4 linked regions of the Caenorhabditis elegans genome follow. The protein of the gene in region 4 interacts with the protein of the main gene of each other region in a pairwise test. Each region holds a gene or a part of one and is shown on either strand. Other genes may lie near its edges.

Evidence for each region.
Region 1: the proteins of act-4 (region 4) and aspm-1 interact in a two-hybrid assay, tested with the Caenorhabditis elegans proteins (one large-scale study listed by BioGRID).
Region 2: the proteins of act-4 (region 4) and plin-1 interact in a two-hybrid assay, tested with the Caenorhabditis elegans proteins (one large-scale study listed by BioGRID).
Region 3: the proteins of act-4 (region 4) and hmp-1 interact in a two-hybrid assay, tested with the Caenorhabditis elegans proteins (one large-scale study listed by BioGRID).

The regions. Positions count from the first base shown.
Region 1 is NC_003279.8:9,221,249-9,228,232, forward strand, and holds aspm-1 (Calponin-homology (CH) domain-containing protein), read right to left. Parts: upstream 5,143-6,984; 5' UTR 5,136-5,142; coding exon 5,075-5,135; intron 5,024-5,074; coding exon 4,321-5,023; intron 4,257-4,320; coding exon 3,933-4,256; intron 3,829-3,932; coding exon 3,192-3,828; intron 3,146-3,191; coding exon 2,192-3,145; intron 1,833-2,191; coding exon 1,462-1,832; intron 1,414-1,461; coding exon 1,340-1,413; intron 1,196-1,339; coding exon 759-1,195; 3' UTR 502-758; downstream 1-501. Other genes in the region: lipt-1 (BPL/LPL catalytic domain-containing protein), read left to right, coding at 5,743-5,838, 5,888-6,124, 6,176-6,294, 6,344-6,544, 6,589-6,805; gip-2 (Gamma-tubulin interacting protein 2), read left to right, coding at 6,915-6,972.
Region 2 is NC_003279.8:7,055,214-7,059,876, reverse strand, and holds plin-1 (Perilipin-1 homolog), read right to left. Parts: upstream 2,686-4,663; 5' UTR 2,670-2,685; coding exon 2,574-2,669; intron 2,520-2,573; coding exon 1,923-2,519; intron 1,887-1,922; coding exon 1,800-1,886; intron 1,745-1,799; coding exon 1,541-1,744; intron 1,494-1,540; coding exon 1,392-1,493; intron 1,341-1,391; coding exon 1,281-1,340; coding exon of another isoform or gene 1,260-1,280; exon of another isoform or gene 710-1,259; intron 693-709; coding exon 582-692; 3' UTR 533-581; downstream 1-532. Other genes in the region: W01A8.2 (UPF0235 protein), read left to right, coding at 3,509-3,577, 3,627-3,765, 3,843-3,970, 4,169-4,264. UniProt on the Caenorhabditis elegans protein: Lipid droplet-associated protein which plays a role in lipid droplet clustering.
Region 3 is NC_003283.11:11,844,217-11,851,911, reverse strand, and holds the start of hmp-1 (Vinculin), read right to left. Parts: upstream 6,036-7,695; 5' UTR 6,035-6,035; coding exon 5,651-6,034; intron 5,607-5,650; coding exon 5,151-5,606; intron 5,105-5,150; coding exon 4,901-5,104; intron 4,829-4,900; exon of another isoform or gene 4,606-4,828; intron 4,506-4,605; coding exon 3,975-4,505; intron 3,873-3,974; coding exon 3,045-3,872; intron 2,562-3,044; coding exon 2,421-2,561; coding exon of another isoform or gene 2,373-2,420; exon of another isoform or gene 2,124-2,372; coding exon of another isoform or gene 2,016-2,123; exon of another isoform or gene 1,132-2,015; coding exon 1,031-1,131; intron 290-1,030; coding exon 142-289; 3' UTR 1-141. UniProt on the Caenorhabditis elegans protein: Required for cell migration during body enclosure and cell shape changes during body elongation. Required for proper localization of other junctional components, such as pac-1.
Region 4 is NC_003284.9:4,958,782-4,964,938, forward strand, and holds act-4 (Actin-4), read left to right. Parts: upstream 1-1,839; 5' UTR 1,840-1,880; coding exon 1,881-1,937; intron 1,938-4,018; coding exon 4,019-4,753; intron 4,754-4,809; coding exon 4,810-4,988; intron 4,989-5,043; coding exon 5,044-5,203; 3' UTR 5,204-5,632; downstream 5,633-6,157. Other genes in the region: M03F4.6 (EB domain-containing protein), read right to left, coding at 5,725-5,829. UniProt on the Caenorhabditis elegans protein: Actins are highly conserved proteins that are involved in various types of cell motility and are ubiquitously expressed in all eukaryotic cells.

The sequences.
Region 1 (6,984 bases), on a different chromosome or scaffold from region 4:
CATACGCGCCTTTAGAATTCAAAAACATGTGTTGCAAGAGAACATATACAAATCTATTCCTGTAGATGTCAGCCGCTTCAACTTTTTTTCCAGAGGAAAGCAAAATCTAGACAAAGTTATAATGAAAATCCTGTCTGGTAAGTTTTTTAAAATTACTACTTAAGTAGCTACTTTTGATTTTTTTTTGTTGTTGAAAAATCACCAACTTTTGGCCGGCACTGCATATAGCTGGAATTAATAAAAACTAATGAACAATATTTTAAAAATTCGGAAAAACGAGTACTACTTCTCTCAAACTTTCGAAAAAAACCATAAAAATTTTGAGTAGGCGGAGCAGGAGCCGAATGACGTGACAAAGTACAAAAAAGAGCAGAAAAAGATGGTCGGAGGGTTACTGTGTAATGCGAACGGAGAGTAAGACGAGTAACTATTTGCAAATCGGATGAGCCATCTGCTACGCAACAAGTGCAAAACTCAAAAATTTTAAAGAGGGAACAGAGAAAAATAGCAGACTTCTTGAATTTCTAAAAGTAGCTAAATTCATCATACTCTAAAAAAAACGGTAGTATTTAAAATCAAGTTTTTACTTCACAACAGACTTTAAGAAACAAATATGAAATACCAAAAAATCCAAATAAGCATCAGGTTGACTGATCTTATTGGTAAATATTCACATAAAAATAATTAAACCGTGTGTATTTTTTCACGATATGATACACAAAACGGTGGGATGAATTTAATATTTAACAGAGACTAATTTAGAGCATATCTTCGCATATGCTTTCCAATCTGACCAATTTATTCCGACACTCCTGATCCTTGACTTTTTTGAGCGACTGCTTGATTGAGTAGCTTGATGAAGAAAAACTCGATTGCTTTTTGTCTGGGAATCTTCTAGCAATTGAAGTCAAGGTGTTAATGATAGGAATAAACAATTCCTTGACTTCCGAGTGCTTCAGCATCAGTAGCATCAAGCGAGGCGACAAAATCTTCAAGTGAGGGAGAATATGCGAATTGGTGACTTCTTCGGGAATCTTCGTGAATAATTTTTCGAGAACATTCAATAATGGATGAAGAATGCTCGTATAAGAGAATCCTCGATCCGCCACAATCAAAACATCAGTGATCGACTTGATGCCATTCAGTTCGACGACAAGCTTTTCCAAAAGTGATGGAACAAGATCGGTGACTCGGTCTGCAAAATATGAACATTTCTATGTGTTGTATGGTTTTGCAATTGACGAAGAAAATCATCCATGGCGGCATATTCATAAACTTTTGGTTTCTATGACTTTCAGATCAAAAAGCAGCTTCTTCGTAATTTTCATTTGCGACATACCGATGACAGTTGCAGCAACATGAACGACGTGAAGGTTATCATTTGTGAGTCCATGAAGAGCGCATTTCTTTAGCCTGAAAATCAATTTTTTTAAATATATTTAAAAAAAAAAGAGTTCTCACTTTGCCTCGACTGATTTATCCTCCATTTCTTCTATACCAATTTGCTCGTCTTCTTGCGCCAATATGTGATTGTATTGGATCATGCGATTGCGAATATTGCTAATTTCCATTTGGAATTTACGCCGTGCAATGAAACCACGTATCATTTTCTGAATGACAACAGCTGCCTTCTTTTTATTCTCAAGAATTTGAGTCTCATCATTTTGCAATTGAGATTTCTGATCCAATTGCATTGAATTTTCGAAGAGTTGACTGTCGTCACCGTGAAGGATAGCAACATCGTGCCCAGCATCTGATCTACTGTCGGACGAATCCTCCCCGCCATCACGAACAGCTAACGCATTTCTCTCGATGTTTCCCAGTTTTCTCGCCTGAAACTTTTAACCATTTTTAACCAGGCCCTGACCACTTTTTAGAGATATCCGTTTTTACAGCTAATTTTACTGGTTTTTCTCGGATTTTTTTGTGCTTCCATTTGAGACGCCAGATGAGAAAAGAAAATCCATTCAAATTTTCCAGGAAAACGAATATCTCGGCGGGCCTTATCAGTCGCTTCTTTTATTGTTACAAAATTTTTAAAAAACCCATTAAAAAATTTAGAAAAATGTTCAATTTTTTACAGTTATATGTGGTCATTATGATCTGTTCTCTCATTTAAAGCAAAAAATGTTTCGTTTTTTGACTGTTGAGTCCACCATTAAATAATCTGTCAAACTTGATATAGACTCACAATTTCCTGTTGCTTTCTCTTGAGTTCTCTGGTTTGTCTCAAGATCCTTCTAAGTTCAGGAGTGTTGGCATCGTCCTCAATAGACACACTAAGGTTATTCGTCTTGACGAAGTTCTTCTGATCTTCTGATAATGACTGGAAAAGCATCTCTAAACGCTCCTGTTCTTCTGTCATTCTGAATTCAACCAATGGGCTTCCGCTTGTCTGCGTAGGATCCATAGGAGATTTTGAAGGTAGATCTTCTTGCGTCTTGCCCTCTTTGATTTCAAAAGTTTCTAAGTTCTCAATTTTCTGACCATCATAGCTTGCTTCATTGTTCCCTTCTAGTGCAACCGGAGAATCTGATGCTTCAAGAACTACGACGCCGACATCTTCAGCTTTAGGGACATGCATCTCTTTGCCAGTTTCAGAGTCTTGAAGAAATATGGCAGATTGGGAAGCGGAAGGAATAGAAGAAAGAGTTTCTAATGGGATGTCTGAAGGTGGACTATCCAAGTTCTCAGCGGAAGGAGCAACAGTGTCTTTGTCTTGGTTTTCATCATCTTCATCTTGTTCTCTGAATACTTCCGCATTGTGCTCCATTCTGACAACGGTTCTCTTTTTCAATGTACTTGGTACGACCGTTTCGTTATTTTCCGAATCATCCTCTTCCTCGATAACCATCGCAATTGTTTTTCTTGTGAATGTACCTCTCAGTGGAGTTTTCTGCATCTTGTTCATGCTTTCAATTGAATCACGTGAAACAGTAAACGTCGCATCGTTGAAGGTAGAATCCATTGATTGGCGAGACGATGGGATTTGTGATAGAGATGGTCTTTCAGTCAGAATATTATTCCGTGGAGTCCTCGGTACTGTGAAAGTGACATTATTAGAGAATGGAGAAACACTTCGGTTTCGAGGAATTGATGAGTCGGCAAGAAGTTGTTGTACAATGAAATACAGCTTGGGAGTATTCTGAAAGTGAATTATAATATAAATAACTTTATTTTTTGATGAATACCTTTCTTTGCACGTAGGCCTTCCACATTCGTTGAATCTTGGTCGCTTTCTCATTTAGATCTTGAATCATACCCAGTCGTTCCAGAAACATTTTTACGAAAAGAGCCATGTTCTGATCAAGTCCTCGCTGAATACAAAGCTCCAACTCGGCAACTGAAACAACTTTCTCCCACAGACTGAGTCCATCATAGTCCTGAATCGGTGTTGAATTTGTTCCGAAAGTGGTCCACAACTTGGCCAGAAGGCACCCATCGGAGAGTGAATCCAAGTCCATGACTTCGATTTCCATCTGTCTTCCGTAAATCTTGCACATTTTTAATACTTCAGAAGACATGTCATCGTGGACAGCAGATCGCCGCTTTTTCGGAGTTCTTTCTTCAGAAACTCTCGTCACCTTGATTCTTTGTTCCTTGGCCACACGAACTCCGATAATAGCCCACAAAATAGACAAAATCTCGTCTTTCTTTCCGCCAACGATTGATTCGGCGTTAACATTATCCGTTGGAACACCCAAAGAAGACATCTCCTGGAGTACAATCTTCACGTTTCCAATTTTGCGGATGCGGTCGCCTGCTGGATCACGTAACTTCAACAGAATTTGACCATGCGGCATCTCTCCGACAGTTTCCAACAGCTTTCTGAAAAATAGGTTATGATCGGTGGAAATAGGGACAGTGATAACATTTGTTGTTGAATGAGGAAAAGCTCGTGTAATTTATAAGAAATCTTTCTAGAAACTCACGCCAAAATTAGACCATCCGAGAAATCTGAAAATCCTTTCGCTTGGTAGTCGTAATTTTCAATGAATGATTGTCGGTAAGTCGGAATAAAACCGACTTTTGCAAACGCTTTTTTGAAAGTAGCAGAGCTTCCAGTCAACAATTCCTTCGTCAGTTCGGAGAACACATCGTCGAGACAATTGAAATGAGAGGACTTCGTGAAGATTCTCGTCAGATTCGGGATAACTCGATGAGTGTGTGCCGTTTCAATCAAGAACATCAGCTTCATCGAGACGGACAGAAAATGCTTGTGTAGAGCTTCTTTGCCAGCCTCAGTGATGATCGGTCTGCAAAAATTTGATTAGGCATAATTTTAACGAACTCGTTCATCCTCTGAAATCAGCAACTTACTTTCCAGAACCTTGTGCAAATTTCTTGTTCTTTAGCATCGTCGGATTTGAGAAAACTAGATCGAGGAAAAACTGAGAAAGTTTTTTCATTAAATGCTTCGGTTGAGCGTCAATTCTCGTGTTAAAGATTGCTTCAAGAGCAGTTTTCAGCCAAGCAGGATGGAATGATAGAAATGTGTGAAGAAGAGTTGTTTGGAGGCCTATGTCATTATATACGGCATGTTCTTTTCGGATTGCGACGTTGTTTTTGGACAGAAGATCCTTGATGCTTGCATCCATTCCTGAATCGTCTAGAAGCTGCTTGCACTTTTTCTTCACAACTTCTGGATCATTTTTCTCAAAAATCCGTTGATATCTCCTGCGTGCATTTTCCTGTGTATTTTCCACTTCTGACGTATCTGATCTTTTCTTCAACATTTTTTGGATATTTCTGCAGGCTTCTGCTTTCGACTCTCCTAGATCCATCTCTTCAGACACATCCAATTCCATCATTGTGTTGCACCACGTGGCGAGTGCAATAATTTGCTTGTTGGCTTTCTCATCATATGATAGAATCGGGGAATCTGATACAGAAGAGCTGATTGAAGGATTGAGAGGAGTTCGCATATTCATTGAAGTCGGACTCGACTCCAAAAAGGCTCGCTCGGTTGCTCTCAAATCGATCTTCTTTGTGTTCGATTTGACTTGATCAAGAAGGCGTTTCTCTGAAAGAGGAAGAAAATAAATAATGAGATAAAGTATAAATATCTTGTTACCGTGTCGATTTGCTAATCGTTTGAGCATTGCCTCTTTTTTATCCTCAACGTTATTATCCATTTTGATTCTGAAAAATACAAAAAATAAAGACGAATAAATCAGGAAGGAAGACACAGCGATATTAGTTTCAATGCCGAGTCCAAAACGCGAAAAAGTCCCGATGTTGTTAGTTTTTTGTCAGTTTTCAGTGCAATTGTCGAACAAAGAAGACAATTTGGGGACTTTTACGCGTTTTGGACGCGGTACAAATGGCCACCTAAAACGGAGGAAAAAAACGTTTTGGGGATAAATCCGGAATTCGCGCCGCGTTCAGGTTGGGTACTGTAATCGTGATAAGACCATTTCTTTGAACTAAGAAGTGTGCCTTTAAACTGCTACTGTGCATTTTTATAATTCACACAAAAATTATATTTTAAAAAAGATTTTAAGGTGACGATTTTATAGTAGAAAAGCGTTAAACAGTTTTCAGGTAGCTTTCGGAAATTTAGATCAAACAAAAATCAATGAAAAAAAAGTAAAATTTATGTTTTGAACGCTCGCGCCACAATGTCATAAATGGAGCGCAATTACTGAATGTCTGCGTCTCCTTAATGCTAGCAATCTCTTCTTCTCAAATCTTGCAAATAAACAGTTTTCTTACCTTTTCCTAATTTATTTTTCTTGTTAAATGTGTTCTATATCACGCGGAAAATTGTCCACAGTTCTGAAATCCACGTCAAGCTGCATTTTCGAAAATCTTGCGTATGAGGAGCATATTTTCAGGGTCAGTTCAGCAGTAATTTCAGTGCCTTTGCTATAGTTTTTGATTTCAGACTCACAATGTCGCTCAAAACGGGGAAATCCTGCTCATGTGGAGTAATCGACCGGCTGTAGTCATCGGAAGACATCAAAATCCGTGGATTGAAGTCAACATACCATATGCTAACAAAAATAATATTCAAATTGTCCGAAGGCACAGTGGAGGAGGCACTGTTTATCATGATCTAGGAAATCTGAATATTTCACTTTTAACAACACACGCACAACACTGTCGGCCAAAAAACTTGAAGGTATTAATATCATTTTTCAAAATAATAAAAATATCATTTTATTATTTCCAGTTCATTTCGGATGCTCTAAATCAACAATTTTCTGTTAAAATCGTTCCAAACAAGCGTGATGACATGGAACTACATCCAGGAGAACGGAAATGCTCAGGAACAGCTGCAAGAATTGCGCGGTATTTTTAAAAAAAATATTTTAAACACTTGTTATGTGAATAATTTAAGAGGTCAAGCCTATCACCATCTAACACTCCTCGTCGGTGCGGATCTTCAAGTATTATCAAAATCTTTGAAATCTCCATGGAGAGATAAAATCGAATCAAATGCTACAAGAAGCGTAAGAGCTCCGGCTGTTGGATTTCTGAAACAAGATGATGCCAATGCAAATGTCGAACAATCAAAATTAGCCATTGTTGAAGCTTATAGGTGAACGGAGCAACTAAAAACTTCCAATCATTAAAAAATTTCAGAAAACTGTTCGAAGAATCACATATAAAAACTGTGAATGTTGCAGAGGAAGTGAAGAAAAATGCAGAAATATCGAAAATCTTTGATGAGTTGAAAGCCTGGAAATGGATTTATGGAAAAAGCCCGAAATTTCAATATTCCCGCGAAAATAAGTCCATAATTGAAGTGAAAGATGGACTCGTGTTAGACACAAATCAACAATTCTCGCCGGATCTTTAGTCATTTCTTTTTATTTTAATTATTTTCTAGTCGTTATTTGATTTTCCGTGTATTTTCCCTTGTTCTCTTGCTCACAGTAATTCCGTTTAAGTAAAATTTAAATTTTTAGATGATGCGAACTGCTCACAAGGATAGAGAGCCGTGGAGGGATATTCGCCGTAGTTTGTGTAAGATTTGAA
Region 2 (4,663 bases), on a different chromosome or scaffold from region 4:
GTTTCATTTTCTCTCTTTCACAGACTGAGATTTTCGTCCTTGAACGGGAAAACTTGCTCAACTTTGACTATTTACAGCTCTTTAGAAAAATAATTGAAAAAACTTTAGAAAATAAAAAATTACGGTACAGTGTTGCTATGGGGCTGCTGGGGGTTGCTGCCTAAGCAGCCCTACTTGTTTGGATATTATTGTAACATTAAATTCTGAGAATGCGTATTGCGCAACATATTTAAAGCGCAAAATATTTCGTAGCGAAAACTACAGTAATTCGATAAAAGGCTACTGTACGTATTGTTTTACGGAGGTCGAAAGAATAGTAGTCATTTAAATAGTAGTCATTTTTTTTTGTGTTCCCGTAATATAAGCAAGCATTTTTTCCATTTTTCAAGCGAAGGAACTAAAATTATAAAAAGAGGCAGACATTAACGTTAAGTGTAAAGATCGGAGAAACAAGCGATTAATCACCGCAAGTGTCACATGTGATTTCTTATTTCCCCGATAATCGGCATCTTATCTAGACTTATCAGTATCAGGTGAGTACTCAATTTATTATTTACAAGTTGTTCAATTTAATCAGTAATTTAGGCACGATTCCTATACAAGTTTCTTGTGCGAACTGGCGGTGGCGCATCGAAGTAGAGCTCTTCGATTAGTAGATCTTCAGGTTCAAATTGCCATTCGGCCGAGATAATCTGCAAAACCGTATGCTATGTATCTTTATTTCCGTACCCTTGTTTTTGGTAACCTAGGTCGAGGGATTTTGGACTTTTAAGAATGGAAAAATACACGTACGGCTGATAGAATAAATATGTGGGGAGGAGTATGGTACTGGTGAGAATTTTAAATGGGAGGAGGTGGCTGCTTACTGTGCATAATTTGAGAAGGTAATCGTACATCTGACAAAATATAGGCAACATCCACACAACAACCATTCTCAACGATGATGACGAGAAGGAGCGGCGCAGGTGATATAGTAGAACAGGTCAAGTCGAAGTGGTGTAATGGAGAGGAAAAAAACAAAAAGAAAGAAGATTGAATAGCATGACAAAAGATGCCATCATCGTCGCCAGCCTATCACTTGCTTTCTATATCAAAAAAATTTGTGAGGGTGGTGCGAAGGAGGGGAATGGAGGGCAAAGGTCTGACAAAAACAAATAAAATTGAGAAAAGAGTAGAAGTCATCATCATTTAGGAACTGAGCCAGTTATTTGACATGAAAAGACTACAGATAGTAAAGTGGTGATTGAGAAGAAAAGTTACTATTCGGTTTGTTGACGAACCAAAAGGCTAGTCGTCCAGGTTGAAAGCTCGGCGATCCGTTGACGTCCCTCGTTCAGAACCTGTAAGAATACTTATTTAGATAAACTTTTTTTAAAATGAATTTTAGATACCTCGTCGCGGACTTTGTAAACATCCTCAGCATCTGTGAAGTTCTTCTTCAAGTTCTCCAAGTAGTCAATGGTGGAGTCAATCTTAGTTCCATCACCGAAAACCTGGAAAAAAGAAAATAAATTATACTTTCTAGAATAGAACAACCAACGTTTTGTCCCTTCTCACGCAATGATTGAAGTTGTGTTGAGAGTTGCTCGGAGGTTGATTGAATGTGTTTCATCAACATCTCTTCTGGAGCAACTTTGTATTTTTGTGCCTCTTCCTCAAGTGTTTTCTTGAAATCAAAGACAGATGTGGAGAGCTCGTTTGACTTCTCTATGACCCACGTTTTCTTCTCACGGACGATGTCTAGCTGAAAAGTATCAATCTTAGATTCAATATATATTCATTTATGAAAATAAACTAACCAATACGAAGGATTGGCTGAGCTGCTCAAGATAATTACGGGCTCTCTCGTTGATTGGATCGATAACATGATCATGTGCCTTAAAAAGCTAGACGGATTTTCAAAAAATGTTACATTTCTCTACCTTGTTAGATACTCCTTGGACGATCAGTGAAGCCAGATTTTTGACTCGCTGTCCGATGGTGAGGTTCACAGATGGTGGGACCTCGATATTGAGTCCTTTCTGAACTGCTCCGTCAAGAATGTCAAGCAATGAATTAGTATTTTCTGTGATTTTCTCCACAGGAACCATGGCGATTCGTTGGGCCTGATGAAGAGCTGAGAAGATTCTGTGTTCGACAGCAAGCTCGGCTTCTTTGATCGTAGAAATCGCGCTGCTTCCCAACTTTTTAGCACTGTCCACTTGCTCAAGGACCAGGGCGGCACCTCCAGCACTCAAGGCAAGTGAGAATTGGGTCAAAACGACGGCAGCTCCAATTCCGAATGTACCACCAACGATAGCAGCTTGCTTTCCGCTCTCAACAGCTGTTTTGGCCCTCTCGGTTCCATAAGAGACTGCTTCATAAGCGGTGTTCTTTGGCTTAACGTAGTACGAATTGTATCCGTCATAGGCTTTTTGAGCCGCATAATTTCCGACAGTGGAAACCTTTTCTTCGGCTGAATTCAATGTGGAGTTAAGAAGTGGATGGAACTCTTTAGTCTTTGTGTATGCATTGATTGCCTGAAAATAAAAATTATTGTGAAACGAAGATTTTGGAAAGCGATATAAAAATACCGTTTGTACGTAAGCATTTCCTAAGACTTGATCGTAGTAGCTTTGGGCTTGGGCTTGTTGATCCTCAACTGATACTGGCTGCTCGACGTCAGTCATCTTTCTTGCTGCAAACAATCAATTGATAAAATGATAAACTAGAAAATACGTTCTCAAAAGAGAATAAAAGAAACGAGAAATCATGAAGAAGAGATAGAGAAACTGAGGACTGGTCAGCTAGTATTTGTAGGTCCTCCGTGAACGTACTTTGCCCCCAATCAGATGGTGGGGTGACTAAGTTTCGCAATAAGTTCACTTGGAAAATTGTGGATTCCCGCTACAAAACTACAATGTAGCCAAAAGACACGTTTCCTTAATGCTACTGTGTTTGAAACGAGACGACAACAAGTAAATGAGGGAAAAGTTCAGAAAACAAAAGAAATACTTCGCTTTTTCTACCTATTTTGCTGATTATCAGTGCAAGATAATAAACCTGAAAAATTTTCGCAGAAATTACTTGGAAATAAAAACTGATAACGGTCGTTAACGGGAGAATCTAGAAAAATCGCGAGAACGTCTGAAAGAAAAGGTAAACAAATTGAAAATTAAACAAATGGCGCCATTATTAAATTAAATAATTAAAACATGTCGGGACCATTAAGCAGAAAGGTGTGCGCCTTTAAAGATATACTGTACTTGGGGAGTACTGTAAAGAAATTTTAATCCGAAAATTGTTTGTTTCTTAACACAATCTTGTGTTTTTTTAAATAAAAAACATATTCAACAAATATATTTTTTCGCCGAAATTTGAAAATATTCCGCATAGTAAAACTGTCCTCGTTGTTTTATTCTCCTTTTCTCTCACTCTCCCACCAGACGCAGAGAAAAATACAACGTTCAGTGCACAGAACGATCGTGACTTTCATAAATTTTCTCTCAGTTTTCATTTAAAGTTTTTTATGTGGACAGGCTTCTTCCGAACTTCCTCTGCGTGCCTCAAGGAGAAAATGGTTAAGCCAAAAAAAGAGGTAATTAATTTTTAAAAAAATCAATCAAGAAAAAATAACGATATTACAGAAAATAGCGAATAAATGTGTTCCGACCGGCGAAATAGTTGATAAAAAAGCGCAGGAATCAGCGATTTTCTCCGATACTGAAGGTCGAATCGGACTGCATATTCACGCAAAACCGGGCGCCAAGAAGAGTTGTGTTGTAGGTAAGATATTTTTGATTTTGCAAAGAAGAAGAAACATCGAGAGAGAGATAAATGTTTACTAAATGTTAAATTCGCAGCAATCGGAGATTCGGAAGTTGATGTAGCAATTGGCGCAGCGCCACGCGAAGGAGCAGCCAATGAGGAGCTCATTTCATATTTAATGAGTGCTTTGGGTCTTCGAAAAAATGAATTACAATTTGATAAGGTAGGTATTTAAAAGGAAGCTAGAATTAGCAAACAAATAAATTGAAGTGAATCGAACGATATAATCGATGTTCTTTGAAGTTGAAACCAGTTTCTAAATAATCGAAAACACTTTCATGACTCCTTGAAATAGTAAAAGCGAATCAGATTATTCACGTGAACATTTGAGGGAATTCCCATGAATTTGTCTTCTTTTCAGGGAGCAAAGTCAAGAAGCAAAGTGGTGCTGATAGACACAAAACGATTGACCATTGACGAAGTACGGAAGAAGTTGCAGGAAGAAATCGACAACTGATTCTGTAAGAATTCAAGTTATTGAAAAAATTATTGAAGAAATCTGAAATATCTTTTAATCGTGTTATTATTAAACGAGTGTGCCCTGTAATTTCAAACTTTCGTTGCTGTGGTATTTTTATCGATTTTTCTCAGTTTTTCGAGAAAAAATGGCGAGAAAGCTGAAAATTCAACGAGAATTTGGCAGCATGCTGCAGCAATAAAAGGTTGAATCTACATTACTCTTTAAAGGCGCACGCTTTTGTATTTAACAAAAATTTGTCGTCGCGAGACTGGGTACTGTACTTTTGGAGTAAAACTCGCATAATTTCGAAAATTTTGGATATGCAAAACACATTACCCACATTAAACAAATATTTCACTTTATAGATTTTTAAATACCTGTTTCCCAATGAAAATT
Region 3 (7,695 bases), on a different chromosome or scaffold from region 4:
AAAAATACACAGATACAAATTTCTAGCTGAAGAGAATTGAAAGAATGAGAAAATAATAAAGACTCGGGCATATAAAGGATGTGTGGAAAGATTTGGAAGGGAAAAGTATGAAGATACATGAATAAAACTGAAATAAATTATCTATAAACGACCGTTTATTCTTTGTTGATGCCGGCGATCAAGTTCCTCGTCGTCACTATCACGACCCGTCTCAATCTCGTTACGCGTAAACTCGGCGAGCACTTTAGCTGGTTGCAAAGGTCGCCGTTCGGATGCCCGTCTGCAAACTCTTTATAACATTAGTCGGCGTTCGTTGAATACATCTTTTGAAAGGGGGATTCTAATTAATTTTCTGTAATGGAATAGATAATGATCAAGAATTAGTGATCACCTATCACGGGAACACCAACTTCTGAGTATGCGTATTGCACAACATATTTTTGACGAGCAAAATATCTCGTAGCGAAAACTACAGTAATTATTGTAATGACTACTGTAGCGCTTGTGTCGATTTACGGGGTGCATCTCAAAATCGTAAAATTTAGTTTAATAGGTTTAAAAAATGTCTGAAATCTTATCAAAAATTTTTTCAGGGGGGGAAAATTTTCTGAAAGAAAAGAAAAATTGTGTTTTTTGATGCTTTAAAACTTTCATTTCAATGTCCGAAATCATCCAACTATTCATCACTTTTTATGAACATTGTCGCTTTTTTTTTGCTTTCCGAAAACTCAATTTGCATTTATGATCCTCAAGGGATACACTTTTGCTCAACAAGTCAAGAATATACATTTTGGTGTCGCAGCTCTTTCGGCTTTCACCACTTTTACCACAAAAAAAGGGACTTGGGACTACTGACAATGGCAGCTACGTGCCATTTTCTGGTGGCAGTGCTATTTTTTATGAATTATTCAGGGACCGACTACTTTTTTTCACATGGCTTCTCAATGAAGTGTGTCATATGTCCTTTTGCAGGCAAAGGAAACACTTATAGAGGGATCCTTGATTCAAAAAAAATAGATGAAAACGTTACCTGATTATAGCATTATTCTTTTGTGGTCGAATTAGTGGTTGTTTCTTTGGTGGAGCCATTCGCCACTCGACACGTACACTGTTGGCATTAGGACGACGGAACTGCAAGAATAAGGATGAGTTTCAGGAAGTTATCAGCAAAGAATTCCAAGCATTCGAGCAATTTAAGAAAATGAAACCAACAGCAAACAACATCGAGACACTTTTCATCAACAATAACACATATTTTACGTTCGTATCAATTTCTTTCAAGTTTTTTTTTCAACTTAATCTTCTTTTCTTAGTTAAAGTTGCAATACAATCTAGTTTAAAATGTATGAGTTTTTTACGGGGGAGTATAAGATCACAAGACCGACATATTGGGGGATCGATGTCCACACATCAAGACCGATACAATGCATTTTTAGAAAGTTAAATGTTTTTTTGTTGGGAAAACGATTTTTAAGTGTGAAGGGAAAATAAGAAAGGGATGTCCTTACCAATTTGAATTAACATATTTAACTGGAATTGTTTTCTTTTTTTTGGAATATAATGAAAATTAATTTGTATTTTCTAGGATTCAGGAAATCTATAAAAATCTGAGATTTTGCTTTTAATTTTTGGCTAAATTCCATGTTTGAATTCGCACCAAACTGAGAGAATTCAAATAGGGAATCGCCAAAAATTGAAAAATCTGATTTTCGAAAATTCGACATTTCATTCTTTCTCTTTTTTGGGTATTTCTGAGAATCAAACTATTCTGGATTTTTTTAAAGCAAAATCCCTACTCCATTAAAAAAAAATCGTCAAACATTAATAGTCTTAACCACTGATTTGAACTCAAGACATAAGCTTTTTTTAACTATAAAAAATATTTACCATTAAATTACGCAGCAGCCAACGTAAATTTTGAGAAAAAAGCAAAAAATTAAATTCGACATGCTCAATATCTCTTTTTCTCAAAAACAACATCGATAAAACCACACAACACGATATTTAATGCTTTCTCATTTTTTCTCACCAGATTCATCCATCGGACTTTCATAATTAATAGCTTTGTGAGCATCGCTAAGCGCAACGGCTGATTCGACTCGAGCACGTTCGCGTTGTGCACACTATTGAGAATGTTTTTTTTTTTTTTTAATTTTATTTATTTAATTTTCTAAAACTTTTGGGTACACTTTCTAAAATCTCAAAATTCAGTGTACAAAAGGCAACTGGTCTATTGGCACTTTAAACCACGTGTCTACTCAAAAGAGTGGGCGAAATACCATCTGATTTGAAATGAATTACGTAAGCAGCCGTTATCGTCTGTACGAAAAAAGAAATGTGTGATAAATGCTGGAAAGCAATAGTATCAGACATCAAGTGGGAATAATAATTAATGTTTTGTTTAAAGAAAGGGAACCAACCTTGGTACTGGCAATGTATGCAGCTTTAACAGTCTGTACAACAGCAGTTAAAAGATTTCGAGCCGTTTGAATAAGAGACATTGCAGAGTCAAGTGCAGATACGACAAGCTCATTTCCAACTTGAGTCACATCAGCTTTCACCTGAAATATTACTTTCTATTAAAAGTTTAAAGTTATATTTCACATGGTTTTTTGAAAGCAATTTAAACAAAACTTATTTATAGTAAGTATATGAACAATTTTCTAGTATAAGTGAGGCCAATCACAATTTTTTTTTCATTTTTCATGGCTTCAGTCTAGAGCTTGGTTCGCAAAAAAAACGCGAAGTAAAATTATATCTCTACTGAAATCGTTAAAAACAGTTGAAACCTCTTTTGGTGAAATATCACACTATCTATAAGTTTTTTTTTTTAATTCTCAATTTTTTCAAAAACTTTTCAGATAATTCTGAAAAATACGAGATTCTTTTCAGTTTTAGTTTTTATAGACGCGTTTTTAATTGTGAATCTTTACAATTTTCTTGAAAAACTAATTTGACAAATTTAAAAAACCCCCGAAACAAACAATTGACCAAAAACATTTGGTACGCTTTTACAGCTCGTGGCACCAATTAAAAAAACTCACCTTACTACAAATATTCAGTTGCTGACAATATAGAGTGATTTGTGACAAATATGCGAGCAAATCCTTTTTCGTCTGCGAATCAGCACTTTCTTCTCCAATCTGCCGTGCCAATGCATTTAGTTTTGATCCATTAAGTGAGATTTCTTGTGCTGCTCGGATAACATCCATTGTCGTTTTCAATGGCCCACAACCTCTTGTGAATTCTGTCATACTCATCATAATCTTACACATATTATTGGCCAATGATATAATATCATTTCCTGTTTCATCCCACTTGGCAACTTCTCTTTCGAATCGTGTTTGTGTTACTTTGAAGATATCAATTTGTGCTTGAATTTTCTTTTTCTCTTCTTCTGGCAATCGTCTCATCAGATTCTGTTGATTTTCTTGTTCGGATATCGTACGATTAGCATCTGCATTTGCTGCACCAACACCATCAGCTTCATACTCTACATCCGAATCAACATCATTCATACTTCGGTTCATTAAAAGTGCATGTCGAATGTCTTTAACTGCATCGTGAACTAATGTACAAGCATTGATAAATTCATTCATTTCTTCTTCCTTTGTTTTTGGATCCCATGTAAGTCCGTGTGCTTCTTGACGGTTGGCTAAAGCGCTCGCACGCTCAGCGAATTGATCTACACGTTGAGTTTTCAAAATCCGAACAGCTTGCTTAACAGTTTCAGTGTATTCAGAGTTCTGAAGGAAGTCCATTTCAGCATCGACAACGTCACAGACTCGGAGAGCTCGTCCACGTATCGATCCGGCAGCACAGTCGACAGTTTCACAGTTGGCCGCATTTTCATCCGGTGTTGAAGCGTTTGCCTGGAAAATTCAGTTTGAACGTCTCAAAAGTTGACGAATTTAGCGAAAACTATTTTTGTTAATTTTCATTAAATTTAAAATTTTGAGAACTAAAATACTTACCGTGATACCTTTGATTCCCCGCTCACAGTCTTCAACAATATGTGCTTCACTGACAGCCAAAAAGTCGTCCAAAGTAGTGATATTGTCAAGAGCAGTCGTTAACAATCTCACTTTGTCAAACCAAGCATTTTTATAGGTTTCCATGTTCTCTTGAGCAGTTTTTGAAGTAGGTTGATGGCAAAGTAAGATGGCAGCTTGAGCAACTTGTGGAGCAAGTTTTTCAAGTTGAGCAGCCGTATGCTGAATGACACTAACACTTTCAACATCTGATGAAAGTTGACAAGAAAGACGAGCAACTGAAACAATTTCATTTGCATGCTCTTGGAACATCTTTGAACGATATCTTGTATTCTCTTCATGGCCTTCTTTAGCAGCTTCTATCAGTAAAATAAGCGGTGTACGGGTATCCAGGAAAGCATCACTTATATGATCTACAATTGCACGACGAAGGTGTCGCCGGAGATCTTTTGTTCTTTTGTGTACTTCTGCGATTCCAAGAGGAATATCATCATTATCATCTCTTCGGCCGGTCTGAAAAATTACAGATTTAAAACATAGTTAAACAGGTCGTAATAAGCTTTAAATTTTATTGTAAAAACTTTGTAGTCTCTATATTTTCTACTACTACAAATTTTTTAAAGAATTTCCCCGAAATTCTAAAAAAAACATTTTCCATGTCTGAACTCGCGGTGGTCATTTTTTTTTCTAAAAAACGGCTTTAGTTCGAGTTCGGTTAACAAACAAAAACAGTTGTTCTCGCCCTGAGGGACAAGGCGTCACACTTGAAAGAACGCACGATTGTTTGTTTGTTTGTTCTCACCGTCTCCATCGCCCTTTTGTGAAAAAGATGCGCTTCTTTGAATGTTTTTTATTTCTTTTTATTTTAAACGAGGCAACAAGTCAAGAGATCAATAGAAAAAACTTACAGATTTTTCATATTCGGTCAAAAGTTCTTGAAGAGCTTGCCGCAAATTATTGCATTCAGCAACAATTTTTTGTTTTCGATTTTCACGAGTGCTTTCAGCATCGGCAATTGAAGCAGAACCACTAACAATTCGTTCACAATGTCCTTCAAGATCTGGACGATCAGTTCCTCGACGATAATGGGCTGGATCAATTTCGATTCGATTCTTAAAATAAATTATTTGTCTTATTATTTGAAATTTTTAAACTCACTTGAAAAGTATCGATTTCATTGATAAGATCGCCTATTCTTCCATATTCAGAAAATGTTACTTTCGGTTGTTGTCCGTTTAAAACAGATTCAAGAGCATTTAAAGCAGAATGCATTTCATCTGCAGTGTAATCACGATTTCTTCGAGCTTCTTCATGTTCTGGATGTCTTACAAATGTTCGTGTTGAAGTATACAGAAGTGGTGCAGTCTGTCGAAGTGCTGATCTTGCTGCTAGAAGATCATCTCTCTGATTTGGTTTAACCAAATCAATGGCTCGTCGTCGAACAGTGATATCAAGTTCTTCGATTTGAGAAATGAGAAGATTGTACAAATCATCTACTTTGATTTTTGTATCCGCTTCAATCATTTGGTGTGCAGTTTCTCGAACTTCATCTACTTTATCAACTATCACTTTTACATCAATCGAGTCGGCAAGAATTAGGAATTTAGCGACAGCCTGAATACAACATTTTTCAGTTAAAAGAGTACCTAAAAACTTACAGTCAACAAATTTCTACCAGAATTCGTTGCAATAGCTCGTTTGTTTGTTGAAGTTGAATCTCTGACAAAATCTCTTCCAGTTTGAATCATCACTTGCCCAGTATCTTGAACTGCTCCAAGAGCTTCGTGCAATAAATCAATTGCGCGTGGATCACTGTTTGCAATTGGGCATTTCGAAATTGCAAAGCTTCCCGTTTGAAGAAAATTAGCAACGGCAGCATCAAGAGTGGCGACAAGTCCTTCAGTAGTTTGTCCAGGTTTTAACGGAAACGTTTCAGTGATGTTGGTCACTTCATTGATTAATTGAGTAATTTGTTTCAAAACATTTTTCGAGCGCACTTCGTCGATGTTGAAATACGCATGAGAATTGCCATTCGCAGGCATTCTGAAAATTAATAAAATTGAAAATTCAGATTAGAATGCAAATAAAACGAAGAGAAATAATATTTATATTGAGATGAAATCAAAAAATATAAAAAGAAATACATAACCTTACATTAAAGTATCGATTAGAACTACTGTTAGATTTGAAGGCGCACGATAAAGAAGGGGTGGTTGGTCTCAAAGAGATCCAAGAGGGTACTGTCACCGTTAAACTTTATTGGCAAACACAGAATTTACTTATTCTTTGAGAAAATGACTCATATAAAATAAAAATCTTTACTCTAACTTTTCAAAAATTAAAAATTAAATTTTCAATGAAAAAAATAAAAAATCCTTTCGCAAAATAGCGAGAAACAAGTGTGGTGGGGCCTGTGAGGCCTTTCGGGTGTTTACTCAACGAAAAAACAAAACAATTAATAGGGGATTATGTTTCACATGCCGGCAATTTAGGAAATAACTATTTTTTAAATAAAATTTAAGAAAAAAACAAATTCGAAAATTAAAATTTCGACCGAAAATGAAGAAACTTAGTTTTTATTTGCCATGTTGAATATATGTTTCACACTCAAAAATTTTCAAATAAAAAAGTTGCGAAGCCAAAAAGTCACAAAAAGCAAACTTTTGAGGTATTTGCGAGTGAGAAGTGAATATGGTGAAAACGATGATTCCGCACCATCAACCGGTGTACGAAGACACTGTTAAATATAGAGAGAAAGAAGACACATAAAGAAATGATGATTCAGTCGGGTTGGCCGGTCGGTCAGTCAGCGGGTGACGAGTGAGCGGAGAGAAGGGTATAAGAACGGACGAGCGGCGGGAATAGAGGACGAAGAGGCAAGGACACTGGTCAATGGAGATGAAGAGACACAGACATTGGGACGGACGGAAGCAGGACGGTTCCCTTCGGGATGAGCAGAGACTCGACAGATGGAGAAGATGACCGAATTGAGTTTGTTTGCCCGACTCCCATGGATTATAAAATTGGGTACGTATGGCCTATGTTGGGGCAACTGCAGCAGCAGCGTGTGAGTGTGCGCCCCGGAAATAAAGGACTTTTATGGAAGGAGTATTGAGAAGATGATGGAAAAGGGACAAAAAGTTTCCCTTTTGTTTTGACGTCTTCTACGTCTTATTCGGAGATTTCGAGGGATAATTCTGAGGGATATGGAAGGACAGTGAATTGATGCATCATCATCATATTCTTATATTGGGTATTGAAATTTAAATTTGAATACGACCGAAACAATTTCTCGTTTCAAAAAAGTGGAATCTGAGTCATAGAGAAGTCTGAATCACGTTTTGTACACGGCAGCAGCTGTTTGTAAACTTTGAATCGCGGGGGTGAACTGAAGTGAAAAAAAAGAAAAAAAACTAGGAAAAATCAGGGAAAGTACATTTTTGAGATTGCATTTTTCTGAGAACCTGAACTTTCTCAGATGATATCAACAACATTATTAATCACTGCAACACGATCTGTGCTATTGTAAAAATATGTTCAATAATAATTTGATTTAGAGTCTATTTTGTCCCAATTTTAAGAGGTTTCTCCTGTCTAAACTTTCATAGACAATTTACGGAAATCTAGTAACTGTTGCCGGCTTATTGAACTTTTTCACTGGAGTTACTAAGATACTTATAGAATTTTTACGAAGTGTGGCCAA
Region 4 (6,157 bases):
ACCCCATTAAAATGATACTTAAGGCTCAGTAACTGAAAGTTGGCAATTTCTTGACATTTTCAATTTTTGTCTCGCACCTCTGATATACATTGGTGATCATAAAAGTTCAGACTTTTCATAAACCTTGGGAATTTTGACATTGTGTTAGTGTAAACTCAAGCTGCGGTGTTCAAAATTTTCCAGTTTACCAATTCTGAGAAAGTCTGAAACGAGCACACACACACACACACACACAATGTGCTCTTAAGAATGAAGAGTAGACAGCAAGTGTGTATAAACATGCCATAGTGTATTGAAAGAACCTATAGTGCATTTGTGCTTTATGGTGGGCATGAAGTGATGTCATCTGATCCCTTGTTGGGTCAATCGTTCTCACAAAAAAAAGCTGTGGAACACATTCGTAAACAGAACGTCGATGCCCCCCGTTTCTGAATCATCAGTGACATTTTACTTCATTTCTAAACATAACATTTCCTTTTTTTTGCCTTCCGTCATTGTTTCTCATATTTTTCTATACGACGATTACTCATCAAAAGAGGACACGCTTCATGTTTTGTAACGAAATGGAAAACTATTTTTTTGTTCTTATTCGGGAAAAGTTGGATGTGAAACATTGGGAGAACACCGCGCACGGTTGAGGGGGGGGGGGGGGGGGGAAGAGGAAACCAATTTGACCACTATGTTTTGAAAAAAAAAGAATCTCAATGAGTTTTCTGGGTGATACTAATTAAATTGCGAACCCATTTAATCAGGTCCCTCTTTCTCGGCACTTTGTTCGTTTTCTTCGCAACCAATAAAACTGGACCCCGAGAGGTAACATGTTGTTGATGGTTCCTGATGATGCTCCGCTCTTCCCGCTTCTCATCTCCCCCGCATTGTGCAGTTGAAAGCAAAACTTGCAGTGTAACACCGAGAAAGCAGGGCAGCTAATTCAATGGAAACAATTCAAACTTTTTGGAGAAAAAAAATCTAAACCCTCTCGCTCAAAGATTATATTCCGGCGGAATACAGAAAAAAAAAACAAATTGTTGAATCATATAAATTCAAAAATCGAACATGTGACAATATCCAAGAATAGAAATTGATGACTAATACAATTTTCAGAAATTTTGCTTTGTTGTGATTTGAAACAAAATCATTTTCAGATATACTTTGAAGTACAAAAAGTGTTGAAAACATGAGGAATTTTCCTTTAACACTGGCACGTCATGCTCCACTTTGACAAAATACGTGTCAAATTTTTTTCTACATTTGAACATTGAATCATTTCTTAATAAAACTAGAGACCATCGATATATTGGAAAATACGGTTCCTTCATTACCAACTTACAGTTAAAAAACCTCGCTTTTCCTGATATTGATGACAAAAAGATTAATTCTAGATTCGAATATATCACTAAGTATGGCAAGAAAAGAGTTCTGAGAACATCTTTAGTCTGCAGTGCCACGACGTCTGCAATTGTTTTGCAACATTAAAATCTTACGGTTCCTTATCAAATTATCCCTTAAAAACCGAACGGCCGTTCGCTTTTCACTGACCAATTTCATAATTACAAAACATTTTTAGGCGTTTTTCTCACGTTGCGCTCTGCCGAACGCCTCATCTTCGAGGCGGGAAGGCGCGACGCGGTCCCCCAATTCAAATTTTCCAGGACACCACCACCACACTGTTTTTCCCTCCGTGTCCCGCCCTTCCGAGGACCGTCTGTCGGATGGCCGCTCTCCAGTATTCCCTCAATCCCTCATTCGGTTGGGCGGGGCCAGCCGACCAATGGCAAAGAGCGGCGCGGACGCGTCGCGTGCAGCAGTATAAATAGGCCACGAGAGGCAGAGTTGTGCACTGGTTTTTCACTAGGCACCCGCTTTCAGTTCCCAAAAAAATGTGTGACGACGAGGTTGCCGCTCTTGTGGTGGACAATGGATCCGGAATGTGCAAGGTGAGTTGATAACATTTGAATAATTCTAATTAGGGACAAAGGTTTAAAACAATATTATGCAATCTTAACTGCTCTAGAAACATTTGAATATAAGATTTAGAAATTTTGGAAAATTTTATTTTGTTAGTTTTAACTGCGCTTATTCCAACTCCATGTCTCAAATTTACTTTTCATTTGGGTTTAAAATTTCCAACAACCTAGGAATAATTCCATTGCATTGTATAAAAAGTTGTTTCCCTGCCGCATAAGGATTTTGAATTTCTATTCCTTCTCAACGTTTCGATTTGCATTGTTTCGCAAATAATTATGGCAACAGTTGTAGTAGTAGTGGGTGGTGATTCATATCGTCCGTCAACACCTGCGCGCGGTCACTCGCTCCCTCCCATTTTCAAATCTGGCGCCACGCGCCCCTTTTTCATCCCACTGGGAGAATATGTAAGGGGGGGGAAGAAAAAAGGAATCGTCGCAAGGATATGTTTTTAGTGTATGTAGAGTATTGTTGGAGAGGGGCCAACCCGACCCCGACCCGATGCGCATTTGCAATGGTGTGTGAGGAGAGGCCGTCCGTTGAGGGAACGTCCGCGACGTTTCCTTCGTACAATGGGATATATCACGACCAGCCAACAGTAGTGTAATGCACATTCCGAGAGGGCAGTGGCAATAGTTGAATAGAGATTTCGCCAGTAGATTAGCAACCCCATAAGATAGAAAGAGAGGCAAACCATTCAACAAGAACAGCGATTTTTTTCGTCGTCAAAAGCCAGTAGTTTTTTGTCTATCCACGACGGGTATCTTTATTTGCAACCACCTCACTTTGCAATCCTCATTAAGTATAATTTGGGAACGAAGAAGCGCAACGCGAACATCAATTATCCGCACCACCCTCAATAGTGCTACTTGGCTAATTTGTGGCCCTAGGAAACAAGATGTGTGTGAGTGTCTGAGAGTGTGAGATTCCGATGGTATTGGCGAACCCTTCCCGGATTTATTTATATATATGTGTCAGAAAAGAGGCTGCCGCTAATCGCTAATCTTGACAGTGTGTTGGTCAAGTGTGCCCTTGTATCCTCCTCGCATCACTGTATGCAGGGCGGCGGTTTCCCTCCATTCGGCCTCTCTTGTTGAATGACTACCACCACGCCAACAGCCGAACGGATGGGAGACGGATAGGACACAAGAAGGGACGGACGGACTGTCAAGGCCAAGAAATGCCACCTTTTGTCAATCCTCACTATATTGATTGATAGAAATGAATATGCGCAATCTAGACATGAGAGTCCGATTGAGGCCAAGTAGTAGGAGGCGAAAAGTGCGATTAGGATGAACGGGGAGAGAGTAAGTGACCGGGATAGGATTGTACAAATGCAATGGTCATCAGGGACTTTCATCATCAAAATGTCCCCCTTCCCATTCTAATTCAATTTTCCACAATTTCCATTTGAAATCAAAAAACTGACACGCTCACATCTGGTGCTCTTGGTGTGTAGACGATGACTCAATGCATTTCGAAATCTGTCTTAGTGCCCGAATGCCCCGCTTCTCAGTGCTGCTGATGGCCTCCCATTCGCCCCGTTTCCTATCTCATTATTCAACAGCGCAATTGGATTGCGAAATGGATCTGAGTGGGTAAAAAAAAACGGGGCCAGTGGCAGCAGCAGGCCCCTGCGACCAACACGGGGGTAAGCGAGCGCTGGGCACACTCTCTCACACACACACACACACACACACACACACACACACAAACACAGAGAGACATACACACATCTGTTGAGCGTTGTCGCCGCTCACCACACACCAAAGCGTTCTCGGAAAAAGTACTTCATTCGATATCAACCGTGAACTAGAGGAGTAGAGCGAGAGAGGGCATTTTGAGAATAGGGGAATGGGCCTTTTGTGTTTGCACTGCTCTCGCTCGTGCGCGGACTCACTGCGCTCTGCCAAATCTCGACCGAATTCTCGCCGCAACCTTCTCTCTTTGCAATGTAAATATAATGGACATTCTTGAAAGACCTAACGAGAGTATTCATTTCTTATCTAGGGGTCATCATGGGATATATTGAAACAAAAATTGATAATTTCAGGCCGGATTCGCCGGAGACGATGCTCCACGCGCTGTCTTCCCATCCATCGTTGGACGCCCAAGACATCAAGGTGTGATGGTCGGTATGGGACAGAAGGACTCCTACGTCGGAGACGAAGCCCAGTCCAAGAGAGGTATCCTTACCCTCAAGTACCCAATTGAGCACGGAATCGTCACCAACTGGGACGATATGGAGAAGATCTGGCATCACACCTTCTACAACGAGCTCCGTGTTGCCCCAGAAGAGCATCCAGTCCTCCTCACTGAGGCTCCACTCAATCCAAAGGCCAACAGAGAAAAGATGACCCAAATCATGTTCGAGACCTTCAACACCCCAGCCATGTACGTCGCCATCCAGGCCGTGCTCTCCCTCTACGCTTCCGGACGTACCACCGGAGTCGTCCTCGACTCTGGAGATGGTGTCACCCACACCGTCCCAATCTACGAAGGATATGCCCTCCCACACGCCATCCTCCGTCTCGATCTTGCCGGACGTGATCTTACTGACTACCTCATGAAGATCCTCACTGAGCGCGGTTACTCCTTCACCACCACCGCTGAACGCGAGATTGTCCGTGACATCAAGGAGAAGCTCTGCTATGTCGCCCTCGACTTCGAGCAAGAAATGGCCACCGCTGCCTCCTCATCTTCCCTCGAGAAGTCCTACGAACTTCCTGACGGACAGGTCATCACCGTTGGAAACGAGCGTTTCCGTTGCCCAGAGGCTCTCTTCCAGGTAAGAAAATATTTGCACCTCTAGCTAAACATAAAATTAATTCCTATTCATTTCAGCCATCCTTCTTGGGTATGGAGTCTGCCGGAATCCACGAGACTTCTTACAACTCCATCATGAAGTGCGACATTGATATCCGTAAGGACTTGTACGCCAACACCGTCCTTTCCGGAGGAACCACCATGTACCCAGGAATCGCCGATCGTATGCAGAAGGAAATCACCGCTCTTGCCCCATCGTAAGTTTAACTTAAATGGATTTCAAGAACTAATATTTACTTTCTATTTTTTCAGCACCATGAAGATCAAGATCATCGCCCCACCAGAGCGCAAGTACTCCGTCTGGATCGGAGGATCCATCCTCGCCTCCCTCTCCACCTTCCAACAGATGTGGATCTCCAAGCAAGAGTACGACGAGTCCGGCCCATCGATTGTCCACCGCAAGTGCTTCTAAATTTTTTGCCCCTTCCACCCACAACGCTCAAAAGAAGTTCGTATTATCCCGCAACCCATCCAGACCATCCTTTTACATTTTTTTTATTTTCTCTTTTTTTTTTCTTCACCCTCTCCGTGTACATTGCTAGTAATAGTTCCAACTTCTCTAGCCGACTGCATTATGCTTCCCATTCTCACCCAAATCTTCATTGGTAACTTCTCTTGTATTTGTTCAATACTATTCCGGTAGTAATCTAGGCATGTATAACTAGGTTCTCTGTGTATCTTTGGTTTGAAGTTGAGGTTTAATGCAATCACTTTTGTTGTTGTACCCTATTACTGCCGATGACCCCCATTTTCTCATTACAAAATTGACATTTTAAACCATTTTTTCTCTGAATCATGCTCATTATTTGAGCCACATTCATAATAAAGCTTTTAATAAGACAAATTGATCAAGTTTATCTAATGTAAAAAATACAAATAAAGAAAATTCAACCCGGAGGAGAGATGAAGTGAGTAGCTGTTACGGAACACAGATTATTTGCCTTGTTTGTTTCCGAAGATGTCTCCGACGCGGTCCAAAATTGAGCCAATACTGAGCGGATCATCTGGATTTGTGCAACGGACTCCTAGTAGTTGATCCTGTAATTTAGAAGGTGAGTTTTTTTAAACTAAAACAACAAATCTTAGAAAAATATGTTGTTTTTTGAGTTTAAAATAAGAATTGAACACAAAATGTACAACAAAAATTAAAAAAATTCATGGAATTCTTGATCCGCTTTTATGATTAGTGTCTCATTTTGTTTTACTCAAGTATGTTATTAAAAATATATCATACAATGTTTGAAAAAATATTTTTAACGGAAAAAAACAGGATATGGACGCAGCCTATTATTCATTTTCTACAAGTCGAAACATTGCCACATGAATATAGCATTTTTATAAAATAAATAAGGTATCTAATTAAAGT